Linked DNA regions of Rhinolophus ferrumequinum. The protein of the gene in region 2 binds, or shares a complex with, the protein of the main gene of each other region. Links are inferred from orthologs where the notes say so. Each region holds a gene or a part of one and is shown on either strand. Other genes may lie near its edges.

What was found.
Region 1: the proteins of RAB11FIP1 (region 2) and RAB14 are in contact, whole or in part, in a crystal structure (PDB 4D0G), measured with the Homo sapiens proteins. The link is inferred for Rhinolophus ferrumequinum from reciprocal best matches to the Homo sapiens genes RAB11FIP1 and RAB14. Residues at the interface, in NP_001002814.2 of Homo sapiens: Glu1252, Ile1255, Asp1256, Asn1257, Leu1259, Val1260, Met1263, Pro1267, Asn1268, Leu1270, Arg1271, Ile1272; in NP_057406.2 of Homo sapiens: Leu28, His29, Ile44, Gly45, Val46, Glu47, Phe48, Gly49, Trp65, Arg72, Arg74, Ala75, Val76, Ser79, Tyr80.

The regions. Positions count from the first base shown.
Region 1 is NC_046295.1:71,585,566-71,596,047, reverse strand, and holds the start of RAB14 (ras-related protein Rab-14), read left to right. Parts: upstream 1-5,560; 5' UTR 5,561-5,844; intron 5,845-10,482.
Region 2 is NC_046287.1:61,576,902-61,586,727, reverse strand, and holds the start of RAB11FIP1 (rab11 family-interacting protein 1), read right to left. Parts: upstream 5,079-9,826; 5' UTR 5,002-5,078; coding exon 4,625-5,001; intron 1-4,624. UniProt on the Homo sapiens protein: A Rab11 effector protein involved in the endosomal recycling process. Also involved in controlling membrane trafficking along the phagocytic pathway and in phagocytosis. Interaction with RAB14 may function in the process of neurite formation.

The DNA.
Region 1 (10,482 bases), on a different chromosome or scaffold from region 2:
GATACTGTGCCCAGTATGTTCCATTACACTTTCTTAGTTGATCTAAACAACAATTCTTTGGTGATACATCTATTATCCCATTGTGTAATTGGGGCTCAGAGAAGTTAAGTGATTCGACTAAGGTCACATAGCTAATGAAAAGTTGTGCTAGAAATGGAGCTAAGTTCAGTGTGCTCCCAAAACCATATTTTTTCCTCCATAGTAAACCCTTCCCTCATCGTCCCCTGCCACCAAGTATATAATACAACACAATAAAATCTTGTCCCTGTTGGAAGAAGACCCTCCATGAGTCTCTTGTGTTTTTGCACATCTTGCAAGCAGAGGCACTGACGTCACTTGTCCTAGACTATCTTTTCAAGGGTGTTTGTAGAGCAAACAGCCTTTGAAGATAGTTTCCCTCCAGAGCAAAGGACAGATGCTTATTCTGTACTATAAAAGATTTGGTTTCCCTAAGTTCAGGGTTCCTCTCCTGTAACACACTGTGTTCAGACATCCAGGAACCGATGTAAAGATGCTAATGCTCGTGCTTCATATCATGATGTGAACAATGAAGTCCTTTGTCTCTGACCTAGGAAGTCTCGTGTCTTCTGCCTGTATCCGTGAAACTGCATTAGGCTGTTAGCTTGCAACTAGGGTTAAGATTTCAGTTTTTGGCAGCACCTGCCATATTTTGTGCCATGTGGAGAATCACCGTGTTTCATACAGCTGTGTCACACCACACATGCTTTCAACTTACATTATTTCAACTAAATGTACAAGGTCAAAAAAGCAATAAAGAAAATGTAAATACTGTTCTGCCCTCCCTTAGTCTAAATAACTGTATGCCTTGGAATCAGCATGTGATGAAAGAATTGAATCTGCTATTTTCTTAGGTCTTAGTTTTCACGTAGATATTATGGCGTGGTCATTTTGCCACACTGAGAGTGATTCTTAAGTTCAAAGATGTATATTTTTCATGCAACATGGCCTTTAAATCTAAATCACCGACTTCTTCCGGTGCTCAGCCACAGAGACAGCTACCATATCCAACAATGGAGGAAAACTCAGTCTCCAGTGCAGAGCTCTCCTGAAAAATTTTCAAGTACACTTTTCACCTTATGTGATTTTTGTTGTTCTTGTTATGGATTAACTTTAGAAGCTCTGAGTCCAGAGGATTACATTACGGGGGAAGGGGATCAGTATAAGGCATGGGGGGAAGAGAACTATTTTCATGGTCATGAAATTTCTTTTATAATTGAATACAGCATATACATATCCTTACATTTATACATCACTTTTTTCTTTAGTATTGTACATTTGAATCCTTTTGCATATCCAGAGACTAAAGAGTTCCACGCACTTGATTTTGTGTTCTGGGTCAGCCTGCTAAATTTTGAAGTATATCAATTGCCATTTCTTTTTTGATTAATATTTCTAATTATTTGTTTTCACTTAATTGAATTATGTATCACTGCAAGCTAATCAATTACATTTGAAAATATATTAGTTTTTTTTAAAAATTAGGTAGCACATGCACATGGTAGTAAATTTCAGAGTATAGATTGTATTGGTTCTGCTGCATCTTCAATGTTACCTTAGAAATTGGGACACCAATATTTTGATATCTGGTTCTGAATTGGTGGCAACTCCAAAATCACTACACAGAAAGGGGTGAGCATAGAGACAGAGAAAAAAAAATCTACAATCCAAGATAAGCTTCTGAACCAAAATTCTACAACATATGAGGAAAATTAACAAATAAGATTAACCCTACACAACCAATAAAGAGATGAATTAATTAGATTTAAATAAACACAATTGAGAGATTTGAAAATGATTTAAATGCTTAGGTTCTGGAAAAAGATAAAGAATAGAATAACACCTATTGCTACCAAAGAACTTATAAAAATATATACAGGTAGAAATGAAACAAGAACAGGTGGATACGACAAAGAATCAGTACCTGGAGTGATCTCATGCATCTCCCTTAGGAATGGGTGACCCCTCACGCATTTGCTGAATCTTCCAGCTGAGGGCCAGCTTGAACATCTCTGTTGTTCTCCAACCTAGGACTGGGAAGTCAAGGTGTGTGTGAACATGGTGGGTGGGGGCAGTTTTAGTCCCTCTCCATCTAGAGCCCTCCACCATGATATCCAAAGCCGCCTGCTATGTGGTCTCTCTCCGTTTGTGTTTTCCTTTGCTTAGGAAGCAATGGGGCAGAGCACATCAGTAAGCCTGCTACCCAAACATGTATCTGGGGGGTTGCCAGTCTCCTCTGCCTGCAGGCACACCTAACGTTCACTAGTGAGTCTCATGGAGGGGGAGGAAGGGATGTGATTCTCACGGAGGGAGAGGAAGGCTTCTTTTCAGAACACTGCATTTTCCTAAAGGCTACGTGCCCTCCCTTCTCTCCATTCTTTCTTTCCACTATTTAGTGGTGACGTTTGTCTGTGAGGAGAGGGGTGGGAATGAGGAATAAGTGGGGTTGGTGTAAGGGCTGGTAGAACAATAAAGGCTCTTCAAATGCCCCGCTGGAATATAGATAGTACCAACCATTGGCAATTTTTTTTTAATTAAAGTTTATTGGGGTGAGAATTGTTAGTAAAGTTATATAGATTTCAGGTGTAGAATTCTGTATTACATCATCTATAGATCACATTGTGTGTTCACCACCCAGAGTCAGTTCTCCTTCCATCACCATATATTTGATCCCCTTTACCCTCATCTACCACCTCCCTCCCCGCCGCAATTCTTTAAATGTAGAATGTGGGCCCCTATGGACTTTTTGGTTCAGATTTGGGCCTCAGCAGCAGTTTCAGTACAACAGGGAAAATGCCCCTCAATGTCTAGTGACATAAGCACATATGTCTATTTCCCATTCCTTTTATATTTTAAGAAACGTTAGCATACGTTTAGTTTTCTGAATCTTTTTTTTCCACCTGAGGTATTTCTTAGAGATTGTCCTATATACATGTGCTTAATATTTTGAAATTGCTGCATATATCACAATATGTACGAAAATTTATAACAGCCATCTAGTGATAGTTTGTCTCTAGTCTTTTGCTATGACAAACAGTGCTGCAATGAATATTTTGTATATATATCTCCTTTCACATAAATAGCTTTTTAAAAACCGTTACTTAGAACTACCCTGACAGAAGTTTGGCAGGAAAGACGGTCCTTTTTTATGCTGCAATTGGTCACACACAGTTTCTCATAACTGAAAATTCTGTGGCTTATCACAAGAATCGACGATTTCTACTTTAACTGCATTGCTTAGCATGTGACAGGCACTCTGCATTTACAACAACGTTTCTCTTTAATGCTGCCTCAAAGTGTAATGTCTCTGACAGACTTACGCAACAATTAGGGATCTACAGTTAAGCTGTTACAAGTGCAAATAAGGGATGAATACCATGTTTCCCTGAAAATAAGACCTAACCGGAAAATAAGCCCTAGTATGATTTTTCAGGATGACATCCCCTGAACCTAAACCCTAATGCGTCTTTTGGAGCAAAAATTAATATAAGACCCGATCTTATTTCCGGGGAAACACGCTATGGAGTGGTGCTTAGGAATGGGGGTTCTGAAGTCATACATGCTTGAGTTCAAGTCCCACCACTGCCAGTTTTTGCCTATATGACTTTAGACGTGTATGACACTCAGTTCTCTCATTCATAAAATAGGGCGAATGTAGTACTGACTTCATGGGGGTGCTGTAGGGATTAAATAAGAAAATATTCACTATTCTTAGGATACTTCCTGGCACATAGTAAGTGTTCAATAAGCATTAGCTATGCATTCAGGGACAAATGGATACACAGAAACTTTCTAGCCAGACCTAAGTTCATAGCTGGACAAGTAACAGCAATTAATTCACAGCTTTCTCTATTTGGCATAGGCAAATTTCTTGATTTCAGAGATGTTAAACTGTGACCACAAACAAACTACACTTGTTAGAATTAAAGAACATAGGAATAGAAGCATAGACCTATAGGGATGGAAGGGATTTCAATATTACTTTATATTATCTTGTGATAACTATTCCATGTATTAAATCCTTGTATGTCAAGCATTCTGCATATATTATCTCATTTAATTTTACAAGGACCCATGGGAGATAGATATCATCATTCTTCTTTTGCAGAAGAGACTGAGGATCTGAGAAATCAAGTGACATGTCCAGTGGCAACGTATCATTACTGTGTTTCCCCAAAAATAAGACCTAGCCAGACCATCAGCTGTAATGCGTCTTTTGGAGCAAAAATTAATATAAGACCCAGTCTTATATTATATTATATTATGTAAGACCGAGTCTTACAGTATAGCATAGTATAATATATTAGACCCGGTCTTATACTAATATTATATTATAGCAAGTCTTATATATTATATTACATTATATTGTATTATATTATATTGTACCGGGTCTTATATTAATTTCTGCTCCAAAAGACACATTAGAGCTGATGGTCCAGCTAGGTCTTATTTTCAGGGAAACAGGGTAGTAAGTTGTAGAGCAGGAATTTGCACCCAGGTCCTTCTGAAAATAAGATTTGTAAATTGCCATACATTTTTCCAATGAAATCCCACTTGCCCATGGCAAAACTAGCTTATGAAAGGTATTAAATGCCACCACGAGTGAGCTTGAACTTCATTTTGGGGGATTGAGGCAGAGTGGTGTTATCCATTAGGCACAGTGCCTAAGGCCCATAATACTTTTAGGGGCCCACAATGTTTCAAGTGCTTTTAAAATCAGAAGAGAAAAACGAACTTTTAGGTTGAAGAAAATGTTTTGCGCTTTAATATATTCATCCATACCAATGCAGTTGTAAAATATGAATTATATATATAGATCCACAAGCACAAGGAAAAAGTGCCTAGGACCCACGAAAATCGTAACACGGCCTTGTACCGAGGTGGGCTAAACTTTCTGGGAAGGTGATAATAAGCAGACCAAATTGGAAGATGGGGAGGTGGTGGATAAATTGTGAAAAATGTGGTCACAATTTCTCTCCTCCCATCAAAGATACCCCCAAAGAGAGGTTAAACGGGACACAGGCGAAACATAGGGCAGAAAGTGCCACTTCCTAGCTGCATGATCTTGGACAAGTGACTTGATCAATCTGACCCTCAGTTTCGCTGTCAATAAAATGGGAACATGTACTCCCTGGGGTTGTTGGACAGGGACCTAGTGTGCCTTGCTCGCCGCTATGTACGAAGCGCTCAATAAACACATGCTGAGTGAAGTAATGTGTACTTATCACAGTGGCTGGTGGACCGTAAGCGTCCTGTCAGTGGTAGTTGCTGGCATTAAACATTGTAAAAAGTCCTCAAAGCGACAGCCCTATCCTGAAAGACCCAGACGTACCTCAGCAGCTTCTACGCGGACCTGCGCAGTAAACTGCGCTTGCGCATAAGCGCTTTCCTCCGCCCCTTCGAGCGTGAGGGCCCGTGGGGCGGGCTCCGGCGGCGGCGCGACAAGTCCAGGAGGGAGGATTGAGGAAGAGGCGTGGCTAGTAGGCCGGGCCCCAGCCACCTCCTTCCGAGCTCCGCCAGTTGCGCGCGCATCCTCCACCCCCCTTCTTTTGTGGTCCGGCCCATTGCGAGGGTGACAGGAAACCCTGTGCAGGGAGCGCCGCCATCTTGGACCTGCCCGAGGAAGATCCTGAGGGAGCCGCCAGAGCAGTCGCCGCTGCCACCGCTACTGCCGCCAGTGCGTCTGCACCCCTTCGGCTCGCCCGCTACCTGCCGGGGCCTCGGCCGACCCCCTCCGCCCCTCTCCCGCTGCTCTCGCACTCCTCTTCCTCGTCCTGACGCCCCCCTCCCTCCCGGAAAGCTGCCCAGCCACCAGCAACCCCCCAGGTAACCCAGGCCTTCCGCAGTGTCCCTCCGGCCGCGGCCTCCTCGCCCGGCTCTCCGATGGCAGGGTGTAGGGACGACAGCGAACCCTGGCCGCGGGCAGGCGGCGCCGCAGGGCCGGCCCTGTCAGGCCACGGCGAGCCCGGGGTCGCCCCGGTGCCCGGCCTTCCGGGACTCCCGTGGGGGGCGAGGGTGTCCCCGCGCTGCGCCCGCCTCAGCCTCCGGTGCTCCTCGCCCAGCGGAGAGCTTCGCGGCGTGCCGGGCAGGGTGTGTTCGGCGGGACTGGGCAGACTGGCCTCGCCGCAGGCCCCTCTCCTGGCTGCGGTTCCCGGAGGCTGCGGACCACCCCCGCGGTAGTTACGCACGCGAGCCGCGCCGCCCTGCAGCCCACGAACCCCAGACGTGGCAGTCCCCGTCCCTTAGGCCGCTCTGGCCCCGAGTACAAAAGGCAGCACCTCGCAACGTCGCCGGCATGTTGGACTGGCGCCGGTGCCCTTGTGGATGTGGGCAGACCGTCTCTGGGCTCGGGCTGGGTGGAGGAGGAGGTCTGGGGGTCGGTGCTTGCGAGGTTCCGGTTTGGGTGAGCCCCTCAAAGGCCCCTGACATGCTCTGAGGCCCTGAGCCCGGATAGCATCGAGAAATAATGAAGATCAAAAGTTTTGGCATTTCGAGGATTGAAGAAGGAACAAGCATGTTTCGATGGTTTTCACTTCACTGTGTGCCAGGCACCGGATTTAGTCGTCTTCGGACAGATTTATTTTAGCTCGTGGTGATAAGTCGAGTTATCTCCATGTTACAAGTGAGGAAACTGAGGCTTGAAGTTGTGATGTGGCTGGTTAACGACGGTGCCGGCAAACTCGCCTCTCCCTCCACGGTGGCTGGTTTTTACTGCACTCGGGTTAGGCTTGGGTTCACAGACACGACCATTTAAAAAGTAGCTACAGCTTGATTGCTTTTTTCCTGTTTTTGCCTTGAATGACAGCTGATGACTCCCTTATAACCCCAAAGTCTGTCGCGTCAGCGACTACACTGCCAGTCCGCATTCTCACTACCCCACAGAGGAGATGGCAAAATTTCCATCCTATATCTGTAGAAGAAACGGGGGGTTGCCAGAGAACAAGTGCTTTCCTGGTGGCCCCACAGAAATTGTTAGAGCCCACATTTGAACTTTTACAAAGTTGGCTGCTCGTTTCATTAACTGTCTCCACCACCTTTTATCTAAATGTGGTTGTCGAGGACAAACCTTGCAATAATCGAGCTCCCACTCCTCCTCACCCCAAGACTTCCCCCAAATGTTTCCTCAGGGTTTTGCTTAGGCCCTGTCACTTGGTCATGCCTTGACAAATGTAGTGTACTTTGACTTTCTAGTTCAGTGACTTTAAGCAAGTTACTTAACCTCTCAGACTCAGTGTCCTTATCTATATCGGGGATAATAGTACCTACATTTTAGAGTTGTGGGGATTAAATGGAATTAAAAGCCTTTCGTATGTTGCTTGGCATATACGTAGTTAAGTGTCCCAATTGCATGTAGTGAGTGTTTTGTGGAAGAAATGAGAGGAGCATGACTTTTGGAGCGTTAGATCTGGGCCTAAATCTTAGCTTTCCCTTTAGTAGTTTATGATCAAGGATATATCACCCCTCTGAGCTCATTCCTTATCTGTAAAATGAGTTTTTACGGTTAGAGATGTTTATAAAGTAGCTGGAGTAATTAGGCACGCAGTAAGTGGCAGTTGCTTTAAAGATGTGAAACCTTAGATTCTAATAACCTAAAAAATTCCTTGGAAATAAAGCTACGTTTTAAAAAGTTTTGCTCGTTATCGTTTATGTTATGCTTTATAGTTGTGTTATGCTTCAACTATGCAACAGAATTTGGGGTGTTCTTACAATTTTTATCAGTATTAAATATCTGCATAATGTTAGTAAGATGTACTATTAGAGGAAACTTTTGGTTAAGACAAATAAAATGTGTTAAAACTAGGGCTATTGTGAGATGTTTAATTTTTTTTAAAAAGCTTGAAATAGTACGTGGTTAAAAATGCCAGGCATGGCTGGAGACAACAGTGTGTAAATAGAAGTATCAAAGATACTGTGCTTTACTTTTTAAAAACTTTCTATTCTAGATAATTTTATACAACATAGAGTAGCATGCTGAGCCTTTACATACCACCTATCAGCCAGTGTCAACAGTGAGCAGTCTTGTGTTATCTATATACACCTTTACCCTCTCCACCAACTTCTTTTGAAGCAAATCTCAGCATAGCATTTCGTCAGTAAATTTTTCACTATTACTAATCTTAACGGTAGTAGGAAGTGCAGGGTTTTTTTGTTTTTGTTTTTTCCTATATACTTTCCTTCTATGAACAGAGATGCTGTACTGGAGTACTTTGTTTCCTATTCATAGCAAGCATACTATCATAGTTAGAAACATTTTGCTCTGCTCTTGACACATTAAGGAGTCCAGTTTTTTTTCTTACATTATTAATTTGTATAAAAGTGTAACATTAAATAACTTGTCAAAAGTGAGTTTTTTAAAGTGTGTTTCAGAAAATGGGTGGGCTGTTTTCAGAGGTTGTAATTCTATTGAGGAAAGGAAACTGACCACTCATTTTGATTAGATTAACTACCGAAAAGTTTTACGTCCACTTGCCTGACAAATCAAGTAGCATTCCACTTTACTGGGTCTATAAGCAAATCAAAATGCTTCTGTTCTTGAGTTCCATGTGGTAAGGACAGTGTGGGGATTTTTTTTTTTTTGGTTTTTTTTTTTTTTTGGATCATTACTATATTGTTAAAGTCCAGCACGAGGCTTTTGATTGCTAGATGCTCAACAAATATGTTTACATTGGAATCTCAAAAGCAGTCTGTCTTGGCTCTGGTGTTCTTAACAAGATGTCTTGCATGTAAAAAAAAAAAACTAATTTCAACAGTAAGGATCAGAATTTAAATCACCTGAAATAGTTAATGGGTTGTTTTTCTCCTGTGTTGTCTTGAGTCAGTTATGTAAAAATTACACAGTAACACCATGTGTTCTGAGGATTAGAATAAAATAGCTATATAACAGTTGTGAAAAGATTAGTCAGACATAGTGCATAAGTTAACACAGTAAGAATCCAAACTATATTCAAAAACAAAACAAAAAAACAGAAAAAATACCCTTGATTATCAGTGTGATTTTTGTTTGTATTTTGAGGCTGATTGGCTTCATATGATGGTCCCTGTATTATTGGTAAATGTAGAGGTAATGTTGGAAATATGAATGGGAGTTCTTTTTGTTCGTTATTTCATTTGTTTTATATCAGAATTGTGTGTAAAATGCTTTTAAAATATTTTAAAAATCCTTTATTTGTTCTACTTTTAATATTTAAGAACAGTACATATTCATACTATCAGAGCAGGGATATATAAAAAAAGTTAATAGTTTTCCCCTTCCCTTTTTCTACTCTCAGACCATGTATTCATTTTTCACAATTTGGGGTGTATCCTCTCCTGTTATATGTATATAGGATTGAGAGAGAGAATGTATGTTTAAAATGGGATATAATATTGCAAAAACCTCTGCAACAGGTTTTTTTTCACAAAATTTTTAACAAAATCATGGATATATTTCCAGTTAATACATATATTTCTAAGTGGTTTTTAAACTATGTGTATATTGTTTCATAGTACAGATGTACTTTATTCAGTCATTTCCCTGTTAATAGGACTATGGTTGTTTCCAGTTTTTTTTGCTGTAAAAACGCTGCATTAAATGCATTTGAACCCGTAACCTTGTGGACTGAAGCTTTTGTTTCTGTAGAGTATTTCTAAGTGAGTTTCTTGGCCAAAGGGTGATTTGGATTATTACTATTTTTTTATTTCTTTACGTGTACATCTTTGTTTTGTATTTATTTTTTATTTATAAATTCAGCACAAAGATCAGTTTCTCTGACCAAGTATAGATTTCTTTTTAAAAAAGATTTTTATTAAAATATAGCTAACATACAATATTATATTAGTTTTAGTGTACACCATAGTTATTCAACATTTATATACCTAAAAAAGTGATTACCATGATAAGTCCAGCAACCATCTGACACCATACCACGCTATCACAATATTATCAACTATATTCTTTATTCTATACTTCATATTGCCATGACTATTTCGTAACTACCAATTTATACTTCTTAATCTCTTCCCCTTTTTTACCCATCTCCCCCCAAAGCTCCTCCCATCTGGCAACCCTCAAAATTTTCCCTGTATCTATGAGTTTGTTTCTGTTTTGTTTGTTCATTTATCTTGTTCTTTAGATTCCACATATAAGTGAAAGCTGAGTTGGATTATTTTTTAACATTTTAAAATGTATACCGATTACTTCTCAAAAATGTTGTGGCAATTCAGACTCCCACAAGCAGAGGGTATGAAAGTGCCTACCTTCACATCTGTACCTGCAAATTTCAAAACTAATCATTTATATGTCTGTATAACTTTATTTGGAAAGGTGTTTGATTCAGTGTATGGAGACCATGCAATTCTGTTTTTGGCACAACAATGATTAAGTGTTTAATATGCATTTAGTAACTTCTCTCTCTCTCTCTCTCTCTCTCTCTCTCTCTCTCTCTCTCTCTCTCTCTCTCTCTCCCTCCCCCCCCTCCCCCTCCT
Region 2 (9,826 bases):
GTCTGGAATCCACCCACCTCTGTCCTTCTCCACGGCCACCACCACAGTCTAAGCCACCACTACTGGCCACCTGGATTACTGCAATGACCTCCCATTTTGTCTGTTTCCAGGCTAGGCCTGTTTCAGATTCATTCTCTGCCCAATAGCCACAGTGATTTTTAACAAAGTAGATCACATCACCCCCGCTTTTGATACTCAGTGGCTTCCCATTGCTCTTAAATAAAGCCCTGCCTTCTTCTTCAGCCTCTCAAGCTTCCTAGGTTCCTGCCTCAAGGCCTTTGTACAGACTGTCCCCTTACAAGGCCCCCTTCCTTCACTTTTCACTAGAAAAATTCCTCTCTAGAAAAATTCCTCTCTATTCTTCAGGTCTCTGCCGCTATCTGCAGTCTCCTTTTTTTTTTTTTTTTTTTTAAAGATTCCACTGGGGAAGGGGAACAGGACTTTACTGGGGAACAGAGTGTACTTCCGGGACTTTTTTCAAGTCAAGTTGTTGTTCTTTCAATCTTAGCTGTGGAGGGTGCAGCTCAGCTCCAGGTCCAGTTACCCTTGTTAGTTGCAGGGGGCACAGCCCACCATCCCTTATGGGAGTTGAGGAATCGAACCCGCAACCTTGTGGCTGAGAGCCCATGCTCCAACCAACTGAGCCATCTGGCACTGGCCCAGGTGGGAATCGAACCGGCAGCCGTAGGCGTCAGGAGCACGGAGTTCCAACCACCTGAGCCACCGGGCCAGCTCGAGTCTCCTTCTTTAAAACATGTGCTTTCTGCTCCTTTCTCTTATGATACCCTGTTCTCTTCCTCCACAGTACTTATCACCATACGTGATTATTTATTTATGTGTTCTTTTGTTTAATGTCTAGTATCTTCCCTGACAAGGCTCTGAGCTTCCTGAAAGCAGGGATTATGTCTGCTTTCCAATATTTACAATGTATACCCAGTACCTAGCACATAGTATGCATTAAAAAATATTTATGAAAACTATGGATGAATTTTAAAGACAAAGAAAAAAAACCCAGAACTTTCCCCATGCTAATTGAATGTCTTACAAACGAAATCATAATCAAATAATAGCATTAAAAACACGAAGGGACATCTTTCACAGTACCAAAACAATGAGTTAAGGTAACTAACTTCCCCCTTCTTGGTCATTTCATTCTACTGCCATAAGCAGGTTATGGTTTATCCCAGAACAGACAGAGAATTGTCTTGGGCATTGAGCTATCAGTTTCCTACAATGGAGTGGGAGGGGACGGTGGCAGAGTGAGAGGCGGGAGGGTTTCCAGTAAGGCCCAATATTATCTTTAAGGGGAATCCCACGAAAGGAAAAACTTAACCAGTGACAGCATCGCTCAAATTTTCCAGTCTGTTACGAAAAAAGTCAGTGTGCTTAGGAAACCTAAAGGTATGAACACAACCTAAGGCATCTCCCTGCATCCAACTATCCCAGAAAAACAACTCTCTAATGCTTACTTCTTTTTAATAACCCAAATTTTCTTTGTCAACTTATTACAGCATCTTATTACACTTACAGTTCTTCAAAATACTAACCTTTATTAATATCAAAGATTTTTTCATATACAACCAAATTCCCTCTTAAATCTTAAAGATATAAGAAAGTGACTGTCACACTCTCTTTGTATCTGAAAGACTACTAAAGTGTTAAGTTTTATGATATTTAATTACACAATGGCCTTCCAGTCACCAGCCTGAATGAATATTTATTTTAACCTGTCTTCAACAGGTAATTTCCCCAAATATTGCTCTTAGTATCCTAAAATGATTTTCTTTATGTCAATGTAGGACCCCAAACTACATGAGATTAGAGAGTTGAGCAGGGAATCCACATTAGTCACCTGATTCTACCCCTTAGATTCATATCTGTTTTATGACCATGAGACTTAACTGATTTCCATTTAACCAAGGCCCAAGTGAGACCCCAAGTCTTTAACTGATAAGTATAAGTGCAAAACCAATTCATTTCTATTTCTTCCTAACTAAAGGGGCTATGCACTCTTCCCTATTAAATGTATGCTATCTATATGTCAGCCTCTGTTTGATGTTTCAAAGATGTGTGTCATCACACTAAATTTGAGGTCTGCAAAATCTGAGTCATTATAAAAAGCTTATTCTCTTAACTCCAAATATATGGTGGATGGGGGCTTATCAAGAAAACAAATACAAATATTAGTACAGTTAGCTCTTCATGCCTTGAGTTTTAGCTTCTGGACCCATGACAAAAGTCATACTCTATAGCAGCAATCTTCTTTGCACATACACACAAACCTAAAGACCACGATTTGAGCTTTTGTTTTGTTTCTGGTTTTTAATATCTACAGTGTAGTCAAACCGTTAATAACTGGTTCAAACAACTTTCCTAGTCCAACCAATTTCATTCTGTTAAAGTTCCGTCTCTCAGTTTATATTGCATTCTCCATATCTCAGCTGTCTTGAGCACCCAAGTTATGTACCCAGGCATCAGACAGGCTTAGTTTAACTGGGTTCCCCCCCAGCACCTTGGAAAGTCCCAAGAAGTGAGAGATGGAAAGCATGCAGTTTCACCTACTGCTAGAGGAGCAAAGAAGCCTTCCATTGCAGTTTATTAAAAAAACCCGTCAACTAAGCACCATTTTCCTACAAGCTGATACTGTGGCTAAGTGGTAATCAGCTCATATAATAGAGACAAGAGTAACCATCTAGGTTTAGGATTACACTGGAGAGGATGAGAAAATGAAGATGAAGACTAAACCCTTCCTGAAATAGGGATGTTTTCTTTCCTCACAAAGCAGTAACAGAACCTTTTGACCCAAGGTCTTTTGAATCTATACATGGGTTCCATTAATCCAGGAAACCAGAAACAGCTTACAAACATCAATTAAGTCAGGCAACAAGCTCCATTTATAAATAGGGAAACTTGGGTGTTCAGAGACTAAGCAGCCTGAAGCCCAACAATGAGTCAGGACCAGAGTGGGCACCAGACCCAGGAATCTAGAGTACCCATCTCTGGCAGGGAGATGTGGTCTTTCAAGAAAATAAAATGTTCCTATAAGAAACAGATGGCAGAGACAGATGATAATATCCACAGATCTTGGTTTGGGACCAGACAAAGGACTGCCAACAGTGCCCAATTAAAGCAGGAAAGGAAGCCAACCCAAGGCCCCAAATAGCATTTAATCAAATGGAAAATTAGCATTGCTTCAGCCCCTCCTTAGCAAAGACACTGCTCACCTTATGGTTTGTAAGTTGATGCCATGAAGATACCCCATCAATCCTCACCTCAAGGCTCTCTATTTTTATCTGATTTGAGTTCAGAAATGCCCATTCACCTTTGGCCAGATAAGCGAATCAGGTATTACATTTGCAAGCATGCATGCTGAAACTGGACCTACCTTACAGAAAAGGGAGTCTGGTAACTTCAAACCCTCTGGTTTTTCCTGTCTCCTTCACAAGGGAAAGTTAAAATACTGTTTATATCTAAAACACACAATGTGAATCAGTGTGCTTCATAAACTGTAGGGGTAGGTGGTAGTATGATTGGCTTGTATATTTAAGGTCCAGCAAAGCAACCAATTAAGCTACCTGAGGCTAGCTTTTGGTATTCTAGATGAGCATAATCAAATGTTCCATAATCAAATGCTCCATTCCAAACACCTGTGAAAGAGAACCACCAACACCCTGGAGTGAAATGGGTTTTGCCCAGCTTTCCTGCAGATATGGTAACACAGAACTTTTGACTGAGAGAGCAGCTATCTGTAGGTAGTAGGACCAGAGAGAACTTTGACAAACTCCAAAGAAAAACAATGCCTACTCGCCAGTTCCACTGGGCCAAGGGCAGACCCTGGCTCCAGCCATCTCTGGCAAATTCTTACTAATTTGTGGCCCAGGGCAAACAGGGTTAATATTTTTCAGTCTGAAAGTTAAGACCAAGCTGTTCCAGCATTGTAGAAGATGGGGGAGGGGGAGCAAATTTCTTCACCAACCCCTTAGGTGGTGGTGAGGTGGAGGTGAGAGATGGCCATCGCAGGACAAGCTGCATTCCCCACTCCCCAGCCCCCATGTCCACCCACCCCACACTGTAATGTCCTTGCTCCTTCCCTGGCTGAGCCTCTAGGGCTAGGAAGCGTCAGAGGGTTTCACTCCACCATTGAATCCACACTGCGCACTGGCCCAGTCAGTCTGAGCTTAGTGTCCAGTTCAGTGAAATACCCAGGCGGCTTTCCACATAAGCTAATGAGTGTATCAAATATACATACTACCCACACTAATAATAATAGGAATTCGTCTGCCCAGATGTATTTTCAATTCACCAAAAATTCGTTTAAGTGCTTACTAAGTTCCAGGCGCTGAGCGACGTCCTGAAGAATCAAAAAGTCCCCGGGTACCCCCACTACTTTCAGAGCCCACATACTGGGAGAGCTGGGGTGGGACAGCCGAAAGAGAAGTTGAAGCTAGGTGAGCATGCTACTACAGGTCCAGGGGACCCCTCTTTCAAAGCCTCTCTCCGCCCGTCCCCTTGGGTCACAGCAGCGCCGTGACTACAGCGCTCACTCTAAAAGGGTCTCAGCGCCCAGGCCACCCCGCACTGCCCGCGCCTCAGCTCCGGGTCCTCTCCCCTGTCCCGCACTCACTGGGTCTTCCTGCGGCCCTGGTCCCGGTGCAGCTCTCGCAGGTCCACCTCCGCGCGGCCCAGGAACTTGTCGAGGCCAAGCAGCGCTCGGTGCAGCACGGTGAGCTGCAGGGTGGCAGCGGTGGCGGGCGCGGCCCCGGCGGACAGCAGAGGCGGCAGCTCGAAGGTGGCTTCCTCCCGCCACACCGGCGCACCCAGGCTGCGCTCGGACACCGAGGTGGCGTACTTCTCCTTGCCCACCTGGATCACGGCGTACGCATCGCTCGTGCCGCCGGGGCCCTTGGCCCGCAAACCCCGTGCCTGCAGCACCGTCACCTGCACGTGTGTTGGGGACCACACGGCCCCAGGGCCACGGCCCCCCGAGGCCGCCAGGGACATGGTGACCACGCCGTGATCTGCTCCAAAGCGTAAAGAAGATCGCAGCGACTCGCGGCCTTCACGGCCCGCCCCGCCACCCCGGCCACTTTAAGGTTTCCGGCCACGCCCCCGCCAGGGCCCGCCTCCCCCGGCACGGCCCCGCCCCCCGCGCCGCTAGCCCCACCTGCGCGGGCCCGACCTCTGCCGCGCAAGCCCTGCAGGGCCCTCGAGCTGACGCGGCGAGTGCAGGGGCGGGGCTTAGAGAATTCTGGCTTCAGAGGTTGTAGGTGAGGGATCCCCAACTGCCACAGGTCAAACCATCCAATCGGAGCTGTCCCAAGCACTGACTTGGGACTCAGACCTCATTTCCAGTCTGGCATTGCCCACTGGCACGTGTGTGACTTTGCACAGATTACTTAACATCTTTTGGTCTCAGTTTCTTCATCTGTGAAATGAGATAACAATCACCTCCTAGAATTGCTATAAGAAAATACTATAGCCTGGCATGTGATGATTTCTTAATAAACTGTAGCCATGAGGGTGATAATAACATGACCCCAAATTCACTGCTCTTTCTACTTTGGCCGCAGGGGTAATTACTCCGGAGGAAGGTGGGTTTTGGGATGGTGCCAGGTGGGTGGCAAAGGAGGAGGATCATTTGAGGGCCTGAAAAGGGGAAGGTAAAGTGGGAGGCAGGGCATGAGGTGATGTGGAGGTGTCCTATTTTGCCCTGCTTTCACCAAATAAGGTGAAGCTAACAGGCTAAGTTAGGAAAGGGGAAGAAAGAAAATTGAAAACGCGGTTGCCAAACCAGACGTCAGGAGCAGAGGCTCCGCCCAACCCCAGTTCCCCATTTCTCTTGGCTGTACCCTCTTGGATTCCCCCTGCTCTTTACCTCTGGGCTCCAGTTAGTTACTTCTTTGTTCCAAATGTCCATTAGATTGGCTTATTCCCTTCATTCCCAATACCCTACTTCAAAGGAAAGGTCACTTTGAAGGTTTTTAGGTTTTACTGTTAACAAAAGGCCCAGAGCAGAGAAGTGACTGATTCAAATCCCCACAACAGAGGCAGGACTAGAACCCAGGTGTCCTGACTCCCATCCAGTGTTTATGCTGCGTCCCTTGTTTCTTCCAGATCCTCAGAACCCCAATCTTGGATAGCTACTAGTTTCCCCCTGATCTCTAGGCTCTCCTCCCTCCAGTCCACATGGCATATTGCTGTGCTAACTAACCTGCTTGAAATCCTACAGTGTTGCCTCACCTGCATTAACTGCATTAACTTCAGACTGAGATTTCAAGGCATTCCTATTTTGGCCCCACCCTGACTCATTCTCCTCTATCTCCCCAACAAACTGTAGCCCAGGTAACCACCTCCAGGCCTGTACCACTTGGGTGTCCTGTGGCTGCCCTACCAACCTCTCTGCCTACCCAAGTTCTTCCCACTACAAGGCTTCACTCGGGTTTCTCTAAGGTTTGGCTTCCAATAGCCCCCTTTCATGGCAGGGACCAGGTGATGACTTATTTAACTTGTCTCTTCCACACCCCTAGCAGAAACCTGGGTACACAGTAAGTCCTTGGGAACTGCTATGGAACTGAAAAATTTGCAGATTATTCCAGCTAACCATGAATACATAGTGTTTTCTTTTGCCATGTAGGAAGTTACAACACAGACTTTGTGCCTCAGATTTGCAATTGAGGGCAGCTTACAGTATGGGAAAAGCCTATTTAGTATGTTGTAAATATTTAATGGTGATCAGAAGGGGAAAGGAAAGAAGGCACCAGACATGTAAATGGCAGGAAAGCCTAACAGACAGAACTCTGTTGTTTTGGTGATATTTTCCCTTCATGATGATCTGTTAACCTCATGGCTCCATTCATCACCATAAAAATTTATTGAAAACTTACTTTGTGCTAGGTGCTACCTTTGAATGAGATCCAGTTCCAAGGCACACTATGAAAAACACTATAAAGGAAGTCCTGTATTAACCAAATGCTTTGGTTGTTTTGAGGACAAAGTGATTTCTCTACGTAGATGGATTGTTATGAAGGAAGTAGTACTGCCCTGGGTCCTAAAGGATATACTAGATTTAACGGACAGAAAAGGGGACATGGGGGAAGAGCATTTCAGGAGGAGAGAACAGACCAGCCTAAGCAAAGGTGTGGGGTCCAGAGAATTCACAGCATGTTTAGGGGTTATGAATACCCCATTGGGGCTGGAATGTGGAATATTTTAGGAGGGCACTGGGGGGCAGGTGGTGGAGGTAAAACAGCCAAGGTAGGTGGGCCCAGCTCATGCAGATCATGAACACCAGGCTAAGGAGTTTATACCAGAGTGTTAGACCAGGTGAGCCAGCCTTCAGAGGATTCTGAGCAGTGGCTTGATCAGGCTGTGCTTCAGGTTGTAAGGCCGGTATGAGCACCAGTAGCCTAGCAGCCAATAGCATGGCAGGTCACAGCCAGATATCTTCCTTCATTTTCCCCTGGGGACATCTGCCTGCAACCCCATTCTGTCCCAGCCCTTACCCATCCTTGGTGTCTATTCTATGTTGGCACTGCATTAAATAAGGCATACACTTCCCTCTTGGTTGTCCTACCTGTCCTGCTCCATTACATTCCAGCTGGACAAAGTCAGGGATTTAGGGTCAAAACTGACCCTGGGCATAAAGATTTTCAACTTTGGCCTCCCCTCCTGCCCAACATTCACTCTGTTAGTGCAGCGCGCAAAAATAAAGAGAGCCAGGAATGAAACCTAGCTGGACAGCCTCGCAGACTGAGTATGACACGAAGCATTCCTTGGACAGGATTGGAGGACAAGGGGCTGGTGTGGGGAGAGTTCACGGTGCTGGTGGGAGGAAAAATTATGAGCACCTTGTGACCTCATGTGTTTGGGTTTCTGTTAGACACAAATAGGCTCTATGGTTAAAGCAGAGGTGGTAGGTTGGGGGAGGGCAAGACTGCCTGGCCACTCCTGAGAAATTGAGATTAAGGTTCTTCTCTAGACAATGGACACAGGCAGGGGTTAACTCAGAGGAGTGGGGTTCACTAGAGGCAGGAATTGGACATTTGTCAGAGAAGAGAGACGCCAGGAGCTCTAGCATGGGGTGTGTTTAAGAGCTGGCTTACTGCTCCCTACATGCTGGGGTGGACCTTTTCTCCCCTCCTCCAGCCAGAACATATTGTCTGTCCCTCAAGACTCTCTCACTGACCACCCTGGAGCAAGAGTCTGTCTTCTCCCAATTTTACAGACCCACAGTCCCCGGTCCTGTGGCGACAGACCCCACAGGTTCACAGAATTCCAGGAGTGTTTGTAGAAACCTCCCACAGCTAGGGTGCGGCCAGATGACTGCTCTTGTCTCTCACCCCGCCTCTAGCTCAGACTGAAAGAGGAAAAGAGTTTCAATCTGCCCTGAGCACGTGGACAAGGCGCCCGGCAGGTTAGACTGGACAAGTTAGCCACCTGTCCTCTCCCAAAGCAGCAGAGCAGAGAGTGCCGGACTCCCAGTCACCAGCCTGGCCTTGGGCCTCTCTGCAGGCAGCTCACACCTGTGCAGTTAGATCGTGAGTGCAGATTGTCTTTTAGGAGCAGCTGGGAAGAATTCCCCTTTGCACAGAGCTAGAGCCCAGTGCTAGGGGTAGGGAAGCAGGACATGCCAAGGGAGAGACTTTCACTACCCTGCTAACTGCCAATCACTCGTGTCCACAGCACCTTAGTATCTCCCAACTGTGGGAACACTAACTCAAAAATCATCTCTGGGGACTTTGGGTGGGCTAATGAGTTATCCCAAGGGAGAAGCAGAAAGGGGAGAGGAATGGCAGCTTGTCTTTCTCCTTTGCCTCAGACTCTCAGGTGTGGTGACAAAAGTCCACACACATGACTCATTCACTGGGGTGCTTGATAAACAGCCTTTGGCTTCTTCACGGTTTTGGCTTCTCCAGGCCCACTCCACTGACCAAGGAAACTACCTTCCAGGTATAGACTCTAGGAGCAAAGGCTTCCTGCCTCATAGACAGACGATGGTCTCAACAGGCAAATGGTTACCTTACAATCCTGTTGACAGTATTGCTTTGTTTACAAAACTTGCATCATAGGTAACACAAAGGTATTATCTTTCCATCTTGTCAAGTCCCTTCAAGAAGGTCCCTGAATCAATCCCACAACTAAAAGGTATAAAAGGCTACATACCTCATCCTTTCTCAATTGCTGGGACTTCTGGACACAGACCCCACCATAGTAGAGCTGGCCAAGAGATGGGTGTGGCTAGACCCACCATTCCTTTATTTCTCTTCCGTTTTGAAGGCACAGTGCATGGCACAGGGCAAAAGGGTATGTTGATTTTTTTAAAGTATAGTTGGCATACTGTCTTATATTAGCTTCCGGTATACTACATAGGGATTCATCATTTATATACCTTACGCTGTGATCACCACAATAAGTCCAGTAACCATCTACCACCATACAAAGTTATTACTATATCGTTGACTGTTTTTCCTATGCTATAGATTATATCCTCGTGACTTATTTATTTTATAACTGGACGTTTATACCTCCTATTCCCCTTCACCCTTTTCATCCATACCCCCACTCCCCTCCCCTCTGGCAACCATCAGTTTATTCTCTGTATCTGTGAGTCTGTTTCTGTTTTGTTTGGTATGTTGACTTTTGACCCTAAGGAATTATAATGTAGGCATGGAGACTTAAAGCTGAGCCCAACATATTTTACAAAATCCAAAAGGGAGCACCAGAATAACACTCTTTAATTCTAGGGGGCAACACCAGGTTTACCTGTCCCTATAGCCCTCTTAGGAATCTCTGCCCATCTTTGGGAAATCCTATCCCTTCTAAGCAT